3 linked regions of the Xenopus tropicalis genome follow. The protein of the gene in region 1 purifies or fractionates together with the protein of each later gene. This does not show direct contact. Links are inferred from orthologs where the notes say so. Each region holds a gene or a part of one and is shown in the gene's direction. Other genes may lie near its edges. The genes, in order: cdc27, ube2s and anapc2.

What was found.
Region 2: the proteins of cdc27 (region 1) and ube2s purify together in Homo sapiens (affinity purification with western blotting; 4 studies listed by BioGRID, with this or other methods). This does not show direct contact. The link is inferred for Xenopus tropicalis from reciprocal best matches to the Homo sapiens genes CDC27 and UBE2S.
Region 3: the proteins of cdc27 (region 1) and anapc2 purify together in Homo sapiens (affinity purification with western blotting; 20 studies listed by BioGRID and IntAct, with this or other methods). This does not show direct contact. The link is inferred for Xenopus tropicalis from reciprocal best matches to the Homo sapiens genes CDC27 and ANAPC2.

Annotation. Positions count from the first base shown.
Region 1 is NC_030686.2:17,329,355-17,333,003, reverse strand, and holds part of cdc27 (cell division cycle protein 27 homolog), read left to right. Parts: intron 1-2,203; coding exon 2,204-2,301; intron 2,302-2,497; coding exon 2,498-2,655; intron 2,656-3,649. UniProt on the Homo sapiens protein: Component of the anaphase promoting complex/cyclosome (APC/C), a cell cycle-regulated E3 ubiquitin ligase that controls progression through mitosis and the G1 phase of the cell cycle.
Region 2 is NC_030683.2:106,141,938-106,146,134, reverse strand, and holds the start of ube2s (ubiquitin-conjugating enzyme E2 S), read left to right. Parts: upstream 1-1,388; 5' UTR 1,389-1,446; coding exon 1,447-1,449; intron 1,450-2,175; coding exon 2,176-2,323; intron 2,324-4,165; coding exon 4,166-4,197. UniProt on the Homo sapiens protein: Accepts ubiquitin from the E1 complex and catalyzes its covalent attachment to other proteins. Catalyzes 'Lys-11'-linked polyubiquitination.
Region 3 is NC_030684.2:1,696,420-1,700,068, reverse strand, and holds part of anapc2 (anaphase-promoting complex subunit 2), read left to right. Parts: intron 1-1,171; coding exon 1,172-1,375; intron 1,376-1,862; coding exon 1,863-1,992; intron 1,993-2,111; coding exon 2,112-2,347; intron 2,348-3,171; coding exon 3,172-3,384; 3' UTR 3,385-3,649. UniProt on the Homo sapiens protein: Together with the RING-H2 protein ANAPC11, constitutes the catalytic component of the anaphase promoting complex/cyclosome (APC/C), a cell cycle-regulated E3 ubiquitin ligase that controls progression through mitosis and the G1 phase of the cell cycle.

The DNA of each region.
Region 1 (3,649 bases):
GAGACAAAATTGTAGACCTGCACAAGGCTGGAATGGGCTACAAAACCATTAGCAAGAAGCTGGGAGAGAAGGTGACAACTGTTGGTGCGATTGTTCGAAAATGGAAGGAGCACAAAATGACCATCAATCGACCTCGCTCTGGGGCTCCACGCAAGATCTCACCTCGTGGGGTGTCAATGATTCTGAGAAAGGTGAAAAAGCATCCTAGAACTACACGGGAAGAGTTAGTTAATGACCTCAAATTAGCAGGGACCACAGTCACCAAGAAAACCATTGGAAACACATTACACCGCAATGGATTAAAATCCTGCAGGGCTCGCAAGGTCCCCCTGCTCAAGAAGGCACATGTGCAGGCCCGTCTGAAGTTTGCCAATGAACACCTGAATGATTCTGTGAGTGACTGGGAGAAGGTGCTGTGGTCTGATGAGACCAAAATAGAGCTCTTTGGCATTAACTCAACTCGCTGTGTTTGGAGGAAGAAAAATGCTGCCTATCACCCCCAAAACACCGTCCCCACCGTCAAGCATGGGGGTGGAAACATTTTGCTTTGGGGTAGTTTTTCTGCTAAGGGCACAGGACAACTTATTCGCATTAACGGGAAAATGGACGGAGCCATGTATCGTGAAATCCTGAACGACAACCTCCTTCCCTCTGCAGGAAACTGAAAATGGGTCGTGGATGGGTGTTCCAGCACGACAATGACCCAAAACATACAGCAAAGGCATCAAAGGAGTGGCTCAAGAAGAAGCACATTAAGGTCATGGAGTGGCCTAGTCAGTCTCCGGACCTTAATCCAATAGAAAACCTATGGAGGGAGCTCAAGCTCAGAGTTGCACAGATACAGCATCGAAACCTTAGGGATTTAGAGATGATCTGCAAAGAGGAGTGGACCAACATTCCTCCTAAAATGTGCGCAAACTTGGTCATCAATTACAAGAAACGTTTGACCTCTGTGCTTGCAAACAAGGGTTTTTCCACTAAGTATTAAGTCTTTTTTTGTTAGAGGGTTCAAAAACTTATTTCACTCAATGAAATGCAAATCAGTTGCTATCTTTTATTTAAAGTTATTTTTTCGATTTTCCTTTTGATGTGCTATCTGCCACTGTTAAAATAAACCTACCATTGAAATGATACTGTTCTGAGACTTTTCATTTCTTTGTCATTGGACAAACTTACAAAATCAGTGAGGGGTCAAATAATTATTTCCTCCACTGTAATTCAGATTTAAAATTGATTTCCTTTTTCTCTGTAAAAATTAAACAGTGCTTTGTATTTGATCCCAACTAAAATATAATGAATCCGTATTGGATGCAAAATAATCCTATTGGGTTTAATTTATGTTTAAATGATTTTTTAGTAGACTTAAGGTATGAAGATCCAAATTACGGAAAGACTCCTTATCCGGAATACCCTTGGTCCTGAGCATTCTGGATAATGTGTCCTATACCTGTATTACTGTATATGGAGTGTATCCTAGTCATTTATTGTTATTGAAAATTATTAATCAGCAAGGTAACACCCAGTTACATGTCAATTTTTTTATGCAAGGTTCCCTTTATTTCTCTTAAAGGGTTAGTTTACCGTTTAGAATGTTATAGAATGTCCCATTCTTAGAAACTTTTCAATTGGTCTTCATTACTTAAAAGTATTTGATTTCTTTGCTTGCCTGTCAGGCTGTAAATGTATTATAGTTACACTTCTCTGTCAATTTAGGCCATCTCCGATTCATCTTACTGTCATTCAAACCATTGCCTAGTTTCTAGGATATTGGACCTTAGCAACCAGTTTACTGAAATTCCACGCTTGAGAGCTACTGAACAAAACCTAAATAATTAAAAAACAAAAAAGCATCACTATTTACATAATACTAAATGTTAGTTTAAAGGTAGACTACTCCTTTAGTCTTTTGAATCCTGCAGTATATGGCCATAGTCATAGTCCCAGCGCTCTGCTACAGTGAACAGTACATGACTTTTTGTTTGCATCAGGGAGTTTCCATAGGCATGGAACATGAAGGGCAAATAAGTAGGCAAATATCTCTGCTAAACAAACAGCATTTCTAAAGGTTTATTTTTCCTTTCTCTGTCTTTCAAAATATGCACTCCTGGATTGATTTTTCTCACACAGAGCACGCCTCTTTCTTGATGGACTTCATGATGGACTGATAAAATAATTCTGTTCTTTTCCCTCCGTCCCTTTTCAGCAAAACAGATCGATTGGCTAAAGGAGCAGAATGTTACCAAAAGAGCCTTAGTTTAAATCCTTTCCTGTGGTCCCCATTTGAGTCTCTGTGTGAAATAGGTATGTTTGAATGGACTTGCACATCTTCATGAAACATCTTTTATGTGTCCGTTGTATTCAATTCATATTTTTTTTTCTCCATGCACTGATGTGTCAAATCTCATTCAAGGGCTCTGTATTTATGTGTCTTCTAATTTTGCTTTGACCAGTTCATATTTTGTACCCACGCTTAGTAAATATATGATTGCATTTTAAGGTGAAAAGCCAGACCCTGAGCAGACATTCAAACTGACCTCACTCCAGAACTTCAGTAACTGCCTGCCCAACACTTGCACAATGACCGTGAACACACACAGTGTTGTACAACATAGGCAACCTGATACAGTGTTAATGGAGACTCCTCAAGACACTATCGTAAGTCTGGATTTTTGGCTGTGGTATTTGAGATTAAAGTTCTGCCTTTGATCTCAAATAATCATCGGTCTTTTGATTGTTTTGTGTTAAATTATGTTTATGCCATAAAGAAGCAGTAACACAAATGCACAAATAAAAAAGCCCCCCAGGCTTACTAAATAGGGACTGTTTTTGGCAACTTACAGCAGCACCTCTGACATTTGCCAGAATCCACGGATTGCCTGACTGAAGTAGATTAAAGGCTGGGACACACAAAACAGGTCCTTCGCTTTCATCTGCCTCCATTTTATATGCAGGCTGGGAAAAGCGAATCTGCTGTTTTCCGCTCCCTGTCTTGCACATTGTCAGCCTGTGTGGAGCTACACTAAGCACATGTTAACGTGGAAATGTGAAAGTTTGTACACTTTCACATTTGTACACATTTTACACAAGTGTAAACTTAATAAAAGGTATTGACCCGAAACATGTTATGCAACCACTTCCCTGAATAAATGGTTTGTAGTTTAACTGCTGGCGTTCTTGTTTCTACCCTTTTGGATTCTGCTGTTTACAAAAACATTATCATCTTTATATGAGATTTCAGCTGATGGGGTAGAAATATGGACACTGAAGTCAGTCAGACAAACCTTGAATCCTGAGTTTCAGCTCTAATGGGTGATCGATCTCTCAAAACGGCTATTCAAGCTTCCCACTCACAATGATGGTCTGGTACCTGTGGCACAAAAATATTTTTATTAAAAAAAAAAAACTAAACTTTTGTATGGCCTAGGTATAGCCTTCTTAAAGTGTTGTGTTTTTTTGTTTTGCAAGTAAAGAGTTAAGCCTTTTTTTATGGTGTTTTGTTTATACGGGCACAAAACCTTTCCCTGATCTTACACAGTGAGTGTATCCACCCTGAAATGGCTATTCACCTAAAGCCATTATGTTGAAGAGATAACAGGCAAATTGTAGTGGTTAATACAGTGACCCCTAATGACACTGATATAGAAAGGGA
Region 2 (4,197 bases), on another chromosome or scaffold:
TGCTGTGGCTTGTACAGCAATGAAGGGGGCCAGTATCCTACTTGCTGTGGCTTGTACAGCAATGATGGGGCCAGTATCCTACTTGCTGTGGCTTGTACAGCAATGAAGGGGGCCAGTATCCTGCTTGCTGTGGCTTGTACAGCAATGAGGGGGCCAGTATCCTACTTGCTGTGGCTTGTACAGCAATGAAGGGGGTCAGTATCCTACTTGCTGTGGCTTGTACAGCAATGAAGGGGGTCAGTATCCTACTTGCTGTGGCTTGTACAGCAATGAAGGGGGTCCGTATCCTACTTGCTGTGGCTTGTACAGCAATGAGGGGGCAAGTATCCTGCTTGCTGTGGCTTGTACACAAATACTCTTTGCAGCATTGCAGGCTACTGATTGTCCAGAATTTGCCTTCTGTGGGAGTGTGGCCAAGACACATGCAAGACTGTTCAGACAAGGTGATATCCGCTAGAAACTATAAGCAATTATATTAAATTCCATCCTTATTTCTTTTCTGGCCAGTTATTGCAGGCCTCCCTTACAACACAGACACCCCTGCCCTAGTCCAGCAGCCTGTCAGCTAAATACATGCCAATCACTTTCATTGAGACTCATGCGCAGAACAATTGAAATGTAGATCTGTCGGCCTCTATATCAATAACAAATATTCACTTGCTTCATTTGCAGACACACAGCTGTTTTTATTAGCAGTTTTATTTTGCTATTACTATTAAAAATAGCATTCGGCGGTAAGAACAGCAACAACCAGCCTTGTACACCTCGGCCGTCCTATAACCATTCCCCCTAGCAACCACCGGAAACCCTATGGCCCAGCGCTCTCACTTCCCCAGGAACAAAAACTAACGTACGCTTTACATAACTGCACCCAATCCAGCTACGTCACTTAGTTATATTCAAACTGTCCAATCGGTAACAGCCTAACAACCTCCCTCTTACGGCTGTCACTTAATGATTCTGCTACGTTACTGGTTAGCGCAAATGTCAAACACTTTCAATGGGGGCGGGTTCCATTTCCTAGCAGTTTATTGGTGTAAACACGTGACGCGCCACGTTTGCGATTGGAGGAGCTAGCGGAGTGGGAGTGAGGCGTGCCTACAAGCAGCCGAAGGTTATATGAAGGGGCGTCGGTAAGCAAGAGAGGCTTAGTGCCGGGGGAGTGAAAGGAAGGATAGGTGGCTTGGGTCTGGGAACTGGGGTGGGAACCAAAGAAGGAAATATAAAAAAAAATAAAGTAAAAAATAGAAGAAACTATAAGTGTTGACGCTTGTATGCAGGACTAGGCCCAGACCGTGTTATTCACCAACGTCATATCCTTTTTTTTTGTTTTTAATTGGGTAGAATTACAGTTAGGCCTGGACTGTTCGTACCCAGCCTCAGAGAATCAAACACCGTCACGGCGCTGAACAGTTCTCCTCCGTCCCCCGTTTGGCACAGAGAGGCATGGTAAGTATCGGGGCTTTCCTGCTCTTATGGGGATCGGGGGAGGCGCAGTTCCACTGTGTCAGGGCAGCATTGCTAATGTATATACCTAGATTGGCAGCATTGCTAATGTATATACCTAGATTGGCAGCATTGCTAATGTATATACCTAGATTGGCAGCATTGCTAATGTATATACCTAGATTGGCAGCATCATGTGCTGTACATTCAGCTTCTACCCCTCTGAGGGCTGACTGGGAAGGAAATACATTTCCTAATCTTCCCCGAAACCCTTTCTGACTTCTCCCATCCGTTTCCATCGCTGGCTTTGTACCCCATGAGTTTGGGGACTCTGTATGTGCATCTGAGCTGTCAGGGAGCTGTCATACTGGTACCAGGGAAATGTTTTGTATAATTGGGCCTGTAGGTTGGCCTGACTGGCTTAGGGAAATGGTAATATCTGTATATTTTCAATCTGATAATACATTTACTATTGCATCTGATTTTGTTGTTGCCTTGTCTGGCCCGTGATATCGCTACTGGTCTTATTTGGTTATCATACCCTACTCTAGATCTCCAGCAGTTCTTTATGATGAGCATAATGCTGGGTTTTGGGAGTTATGAATGAGAGGTATCAGCCTGTGATGCTGCTTTGATACCGGATTTCCTAGTCAGTTGGTACTAATTACTATAAAGCAACTAGATATGGTTATTGTTTAGTAATGATTAGTTATCTTTTTTTTCTTACAGAATTCAAACGTTGAAAACTTGCCCCCACACATCATTCGTCAGGTCTATAAAGAAGTCTCCACTCTGACATCTGACCCTCCAGAAGGAATAAAGATCATTCCAAATGAAGAAGATATAACTGATGTCCAAGTTAACATTGAAGGACCAGGTGAGGTATAGCTGAGTTGTAATTAGGAATGTATGGTTCAGTAGTGTTACTGCCAAAGATCTTCAATTTTTTGTCTCAAAACTGCACCGACCCTGGGTTCTTCTGTATGAAAACTTTGTCGCAACCCTCCGATTCTTCCTTCTTGCCCCGGGCCAGCACATGTGTAGTGCAGTTTACAAAGTCAGCTTTTAACTTTACTGCACATTCACACTGGTCACTTACAGAAGTACCTCAGGTCTGTGCAGTTTTCTGCTAACAGGATCTCTGGCCCAGGCTATCAGGTAAGTTTATATAATCACTGGAGGTGTTTCTAAAATTCCCCTCACAAGGTAAATATTTTTCACAGGCCTCTGGTAAAAGATCTCTTACAGGGTACCTATTGCCTACAAATTGTTCCCTCTATCCCAGTGGTGCATGTTAAGAGCCTGCACTCTGTATGGTGGAAACAATAGTATATTTCAAAAGAAAAAACCCTGTTGCACACCTAGAACTCCCTGTTGGGGTATAGACCTAATGAGCAAGTGCCCCCCGATAATACGTTATACACATAACAAGTTAGCTGGGGCGCTTCCTTATGCTCCATAAGGTTTCTGCCACCTCTAGGTGGTGGTGTAAGAATTCTAGGGCTGACTGAGGGCCCCCAACCCATCTTATGTTGGATTCATTTGCAAAGCAGGAGAGTTGTCTTCTAACAATGAGTAGCTCCTTATTGAAACTCTTGTAGTTCTCAGGTGACCTGTAGTTTTAAGCCTTAGTAAAATGGGTGTATACAAAAACCTATATTTGCATAGTGAGAGAAAATATTGCACTAAGCAACTTTCCAGTATACATTCATTACAGTTTTTCTTCTGGGACTAACCCCTAAAACAGGAGTCTGGTCTCTTCCAGGTACAATTTCTACTTCAGCTATCAATCAAAAAGTCATGTTCCATAGGCCTCAAAAGGGGGCAGTATACCCCATTTTTCAGAGCTTAATGGTGTGTGGGCTTCTTTTGGTTGCACTTGTATAAACAGGAAGAAATTTGACTTTACATTTTCCGTATATACTCGAGTATAAGCCAAGTTTTTCAGCACCCAAAATGTGTCAGGTGCCATGGGTCCCTCCAGACCCCCTTTGTGTGACCCCCTGCTGCCCCTGCCAACCTGACAGGCTCGAACAGGGGTCCTCAAGCTATGGCCCCCCTGCAGGCCATAGTTTGAGGACCCCTGCCATAAATAAATGAGTTAGTCAGTCTCCTCCTCCGTCTAAGCTAGGGCCTAGCTAGTACCTGTGTTGGCATTCTGCACTTTTTCACCTATGGTAGAAAATAATTCCCACCAGGTTTTCACTAAGCCCTATGGAAGGACAGATGCCCCATTATCACTATATCATGACAGTTTGCTTTAATTGTTAATACATAAGTGTTCTGGAGATATATTACTCGACAATCTGCAGCTGCCAACATTATATATTTATGTAGAATTCACAGGGGGTCACGCAGAGTTGTCCTTTTATTAACTGATTATTGAAACTTAGCAGTAGCTGCTACATTTCTCACCCTAGGCTTATACTCAAGTCAATAGGTTTTCCAGTTTTCTTAGGTAAAATTAAGTACCTCGGCTTATACTTGCTTATATATGGTAGTTTCAGATTTTGCCCTGTTAACTGCATAAAATGAAAGCCATAGATATTTAAATAGGCAAAAAGTATGTTCAGCATAGGCCCTAATTATTACATTAATGTTGGAAAGGGGTGTCTACTTGTAAATTTTAGCGACAACATTTTTTAATGACTTATCTATCTGTTCTGTAATGTGTATGTATTAATCTCCACTATTCAAATACATTCTAAATATTTTACAGAAGGCACTCCATATGCAGGAGGTATCTTTCGA
Region 3 (3,649 bases), on another chromosome or scaffold:
TGGTTGCTATGGGTTACTGCTCCTGGGCAAACTTAGTGCCTTTAATTACATCACCCCCCTAAGAGACTTTTGGTTGGCTCTTTCTCTCCCCCTCCCTTTTTCTCTCTCTCCCCCTACCTCTCTCTCCCTCTCTCTCTCCTCCCACTTTCATCCCCTCCCTCCCTTTTCTCCCTCTTTCTCTCCTCCCTCTCTCTCTCTCTCTCTCTCCCCCTCCCTCCCTTTTTCTCCCTCTTTCTCTCCTCCCTCTCTCTCTCTCTCTCTCTCTCTCTCTCTCTCCCCCTCCCTCCCTTTTTCTCCCTCTTTCTCTCCTCCCTCTCTCTCTCTCTCCCCCTCCCTCCCTTTTTTCTCCCCCTTTCTCTCCTCCCTCTCTCCTCTCTCCTCCCTCTCTCCTCTCTCCTCCCTCTCTCCTCTCTCCCCCCTCCCTCTCTCCCCCCTCCCTCTCTCCCCCCTCCTTCTTTCTCTCCTCCCTCTCTCCTCTCTCCCCCCTCCTTCTTTCTCTCCTCCCTCTCTCCCCCCTCCTTCTTTTCTCCTCCCTCTTTCCTCTCTCCCCCCTCCCTCTCTTTCTCCCTCCCTCTCTCTTTCACCTCTCTCAACTCTTTCTCCCCCTCCTTCCCTCCCTCCCTCTCTCCCCCCTCTCTCCTCTCTCCCCCCCTCCTTCTTTCTCTCCTCCCTCTCTCCCCCCTCCTTCTTTCTCTCCTCCCTCTCTCCCCCCTCCTTCTTTTTCTCCTCCCTCTTTCCTCTCTCCCCCCTCCCTCTCTTTCTCCCTCCCCTCTCTCTTTCACCTCTCTCAACTCTTTCTCCCCCTCCTTCCCTCCCTCCCTCTCTCCCCCCTCCTTCTTTCTCTCCCCCCTCTCTCCCCCCTCCCTCTCTTTCTCCCTCCCCTCTCTCTTTCACCTCTCTCAACTCTCTCTCCCCCTCCCTCCCTCTTTCTCTCTCTCTCTCCCTCCCAACTCTCTCTCCCACTCCTTCTTTCTCTCCTCCCTCTCTCCCCCTCCTTCTTTCCCCCTGCCCCCCCTCTCTCACTCTCCCTCCATCTCTCTCCTTGCCTCTCTTTTTCCCTCTCTCGCCTCCCTTCTCTCTCCCTCCCCTCCTCCCTTCTCCCCTCTCTCTCGTGCTCCCTCTCTCTGTCTCTAAAGACTAAATAATGGCACCATGTTATCATGCCCCCAAGGACATGGCAGATTCCCGCAGGATTAACTCTAACATACGAGACGAGGAAGAGAAGTTGCCAGAGGAAGAGCGGCCGCCATTTAATGTCGTTGCTGTGATCCTGTCCAGTGAATTTTGGCCGGCGCTGAAGGAGGAGAAATTGGAGCTTCCTGATGAGATCAAAGAAGTGATGGACATGTACACCAAGAAGTACGAGAAACTCAAGGTGAGCGTTAAAGGGGTAGTTCCCCTTTAATTTAACTTTTAGCATAATGCAGAGAGTGCTATTCTGACGCAATTTGCAATTGGTCTTCATTTTTTTTATTTGCTGTAGTTTTTGAAGTATTTAGCTTTTTTCTCTCAGCAGCTTGGAATTTCAGCAGGTATCTGGTTGCTAGGGTCCTATTTAACCTAGCAACCAGGCAATGGTTTGACAGAGAGAGAGGAATATGAATTGAGGAGGGGCTAAATAGAAAAATAAGTCATACAGATTTATAATAACAGTGAAATCGTAGCCTCACAAAGGAATAATTGTCAGCTGCCGGGGTCAGGGACCCCATTTATGATATGGAAAATGTCATTGGACAGAGGGGCAGCGAATAAGAACTGGCTGTACATTATACACACTTCTGATTGGCCCAGTACTTTAGTATAAGGTATGTAATGAAAGTCACATCCGTGCCCTCCAGTGATGCCCGTGTCTCTCTCCATAGGCAATGCGCACGCTGAACTGGAAGCACCACCTCGGGTTAGTGGTTCTGGATGTGGAACTGGCCGACCGGACCCTGTCGTTCCCTGTGTCTCCTGTACACGCAGCCATCATCTTACATTTCCAGAACAAAAGTACGTGCCCCGCAGTGTCCTGTAATGTTGCTATGGAAACGCCAGGGAGGCTGCTGGGAGTTGTAGTTCCGTAATGTTCCAAGATATTGTCTGTGCTGATCTGTTCATTCCCCCCACAGGCACGTGGACTCTGGAGGAACTGAGTGAAGTCCTGAAGGTGCCCGTGGCTTCTCTTAGAAAGAAAATGGCCTTCTGGCTTCAGCACGGGGTCCTCCGCGAGGATCCCCCCGGCACATTCACGGTGATCGAGGAAGAGCAGAAAGATCGGCCCGAGAAGGTGGTGTTAATAGACAGCGACGAGGAGGGGGATTCCGCCATGGCCTCCCAGGCCGACCAGAAGGAAGAGGAGATGCAGGTATGTATGGGGGGGCAGGGGAGGAGCTACTGGGGTCGTTCACCTAAGTATGTTGTAGAGAGTCAGATTCCGAGACAATTTGCAATTGGTCTTCATTTTGTATTATTTGCGGTTTCTGAATTATTTGGCTTTTCCTTCAGCAGTTCTCCAGCTTGGAATGTCGGCGGCTATGTGGTTGCTAGGGTCTGATTTAACCTAGCAACCAGGCAGTGGTTTGAAAGAGAGACAGGAATATAAATAGAGGAGGGGCCTAAATAGGAAGATAAGGAATAAAAAGTAACAATAACAATAAAACTGAAGCCTCACAGAGCAATAGGGTTTGGCTGCCGGGGTCAGTTATCCTGTTGCTAGGGCTCAAATTACCTTAGCAACCACGGAGTGGTTTGATTGAGAGACTGATATATGAATAGGGGAGGGGCTGAATAGAAAGATAAGGAATAAAAAGTAAGAATAACAATAAAACTGGAGCCTCACAGAGCAATAGGTTTTTGGTTGCTACGGTCCAAGTTACCTTAGCAACCAGGGAGTGGTTTGGATGAGAGATATGAATATGAATAAGGAGAGGGGCTGAATAGAAAGATAAGGAATAAAAAGTAACAATAACAATAAAACTGGAGCCTCACAGAGCAATAGGGTTTGGCTGCCGGGGTCACTGACCCCCATTTGAAAGCTGCAAAGAACATAAATAATTCAGAAACTAAAACAAACAATGAAGACCAACTGCAAAGTTGCTAGGAATAGGGCATTCTAAACCATACTGAAGGTGTACTGGGCCTGGGAGGGGCGGAGCCGACACTGATGCCCTTTGCCCTTGGGTTCTGTAGCTGTTCTGGACCTACATACAGGCCATGCTGACCAACCTGGAGAGCCTGCCCCTGGAGCGCATACACACCATGCTCAAGATGTTTGTCATGACCGGCCCCGTCGTCACCGAGATCGACATTCAGGAGCTGCAGAGCTTCCTCCAGAAGAAAGTCAGCGACCACCAGCTGGTCTACTCTGGGGGGGTCTATCGGCTGCCCAAGAACTCCAGCTGAGACCCCACTACTGCCCCCTATAGTGTAATGGACACAATGAACTTTACTCTGTGTTGTTTGAAGGCTTTTTTTTCTATTTGTTGCCCCTGTACGTCTCCCACATATCCAGCCCCCCTGGCTTCCCAACCCCCCCAGCCCAGTAAATAGAGACTCCTGTAACGGCTGGGTGACGTGGGTGCTGACCCAGGGGAATGAGGGTGCTGCCTGACCCAACCCAGGGTCTCCCCGTGCCGACTCTCCAAGGCTTCTCTGCCTCTGTAATGTA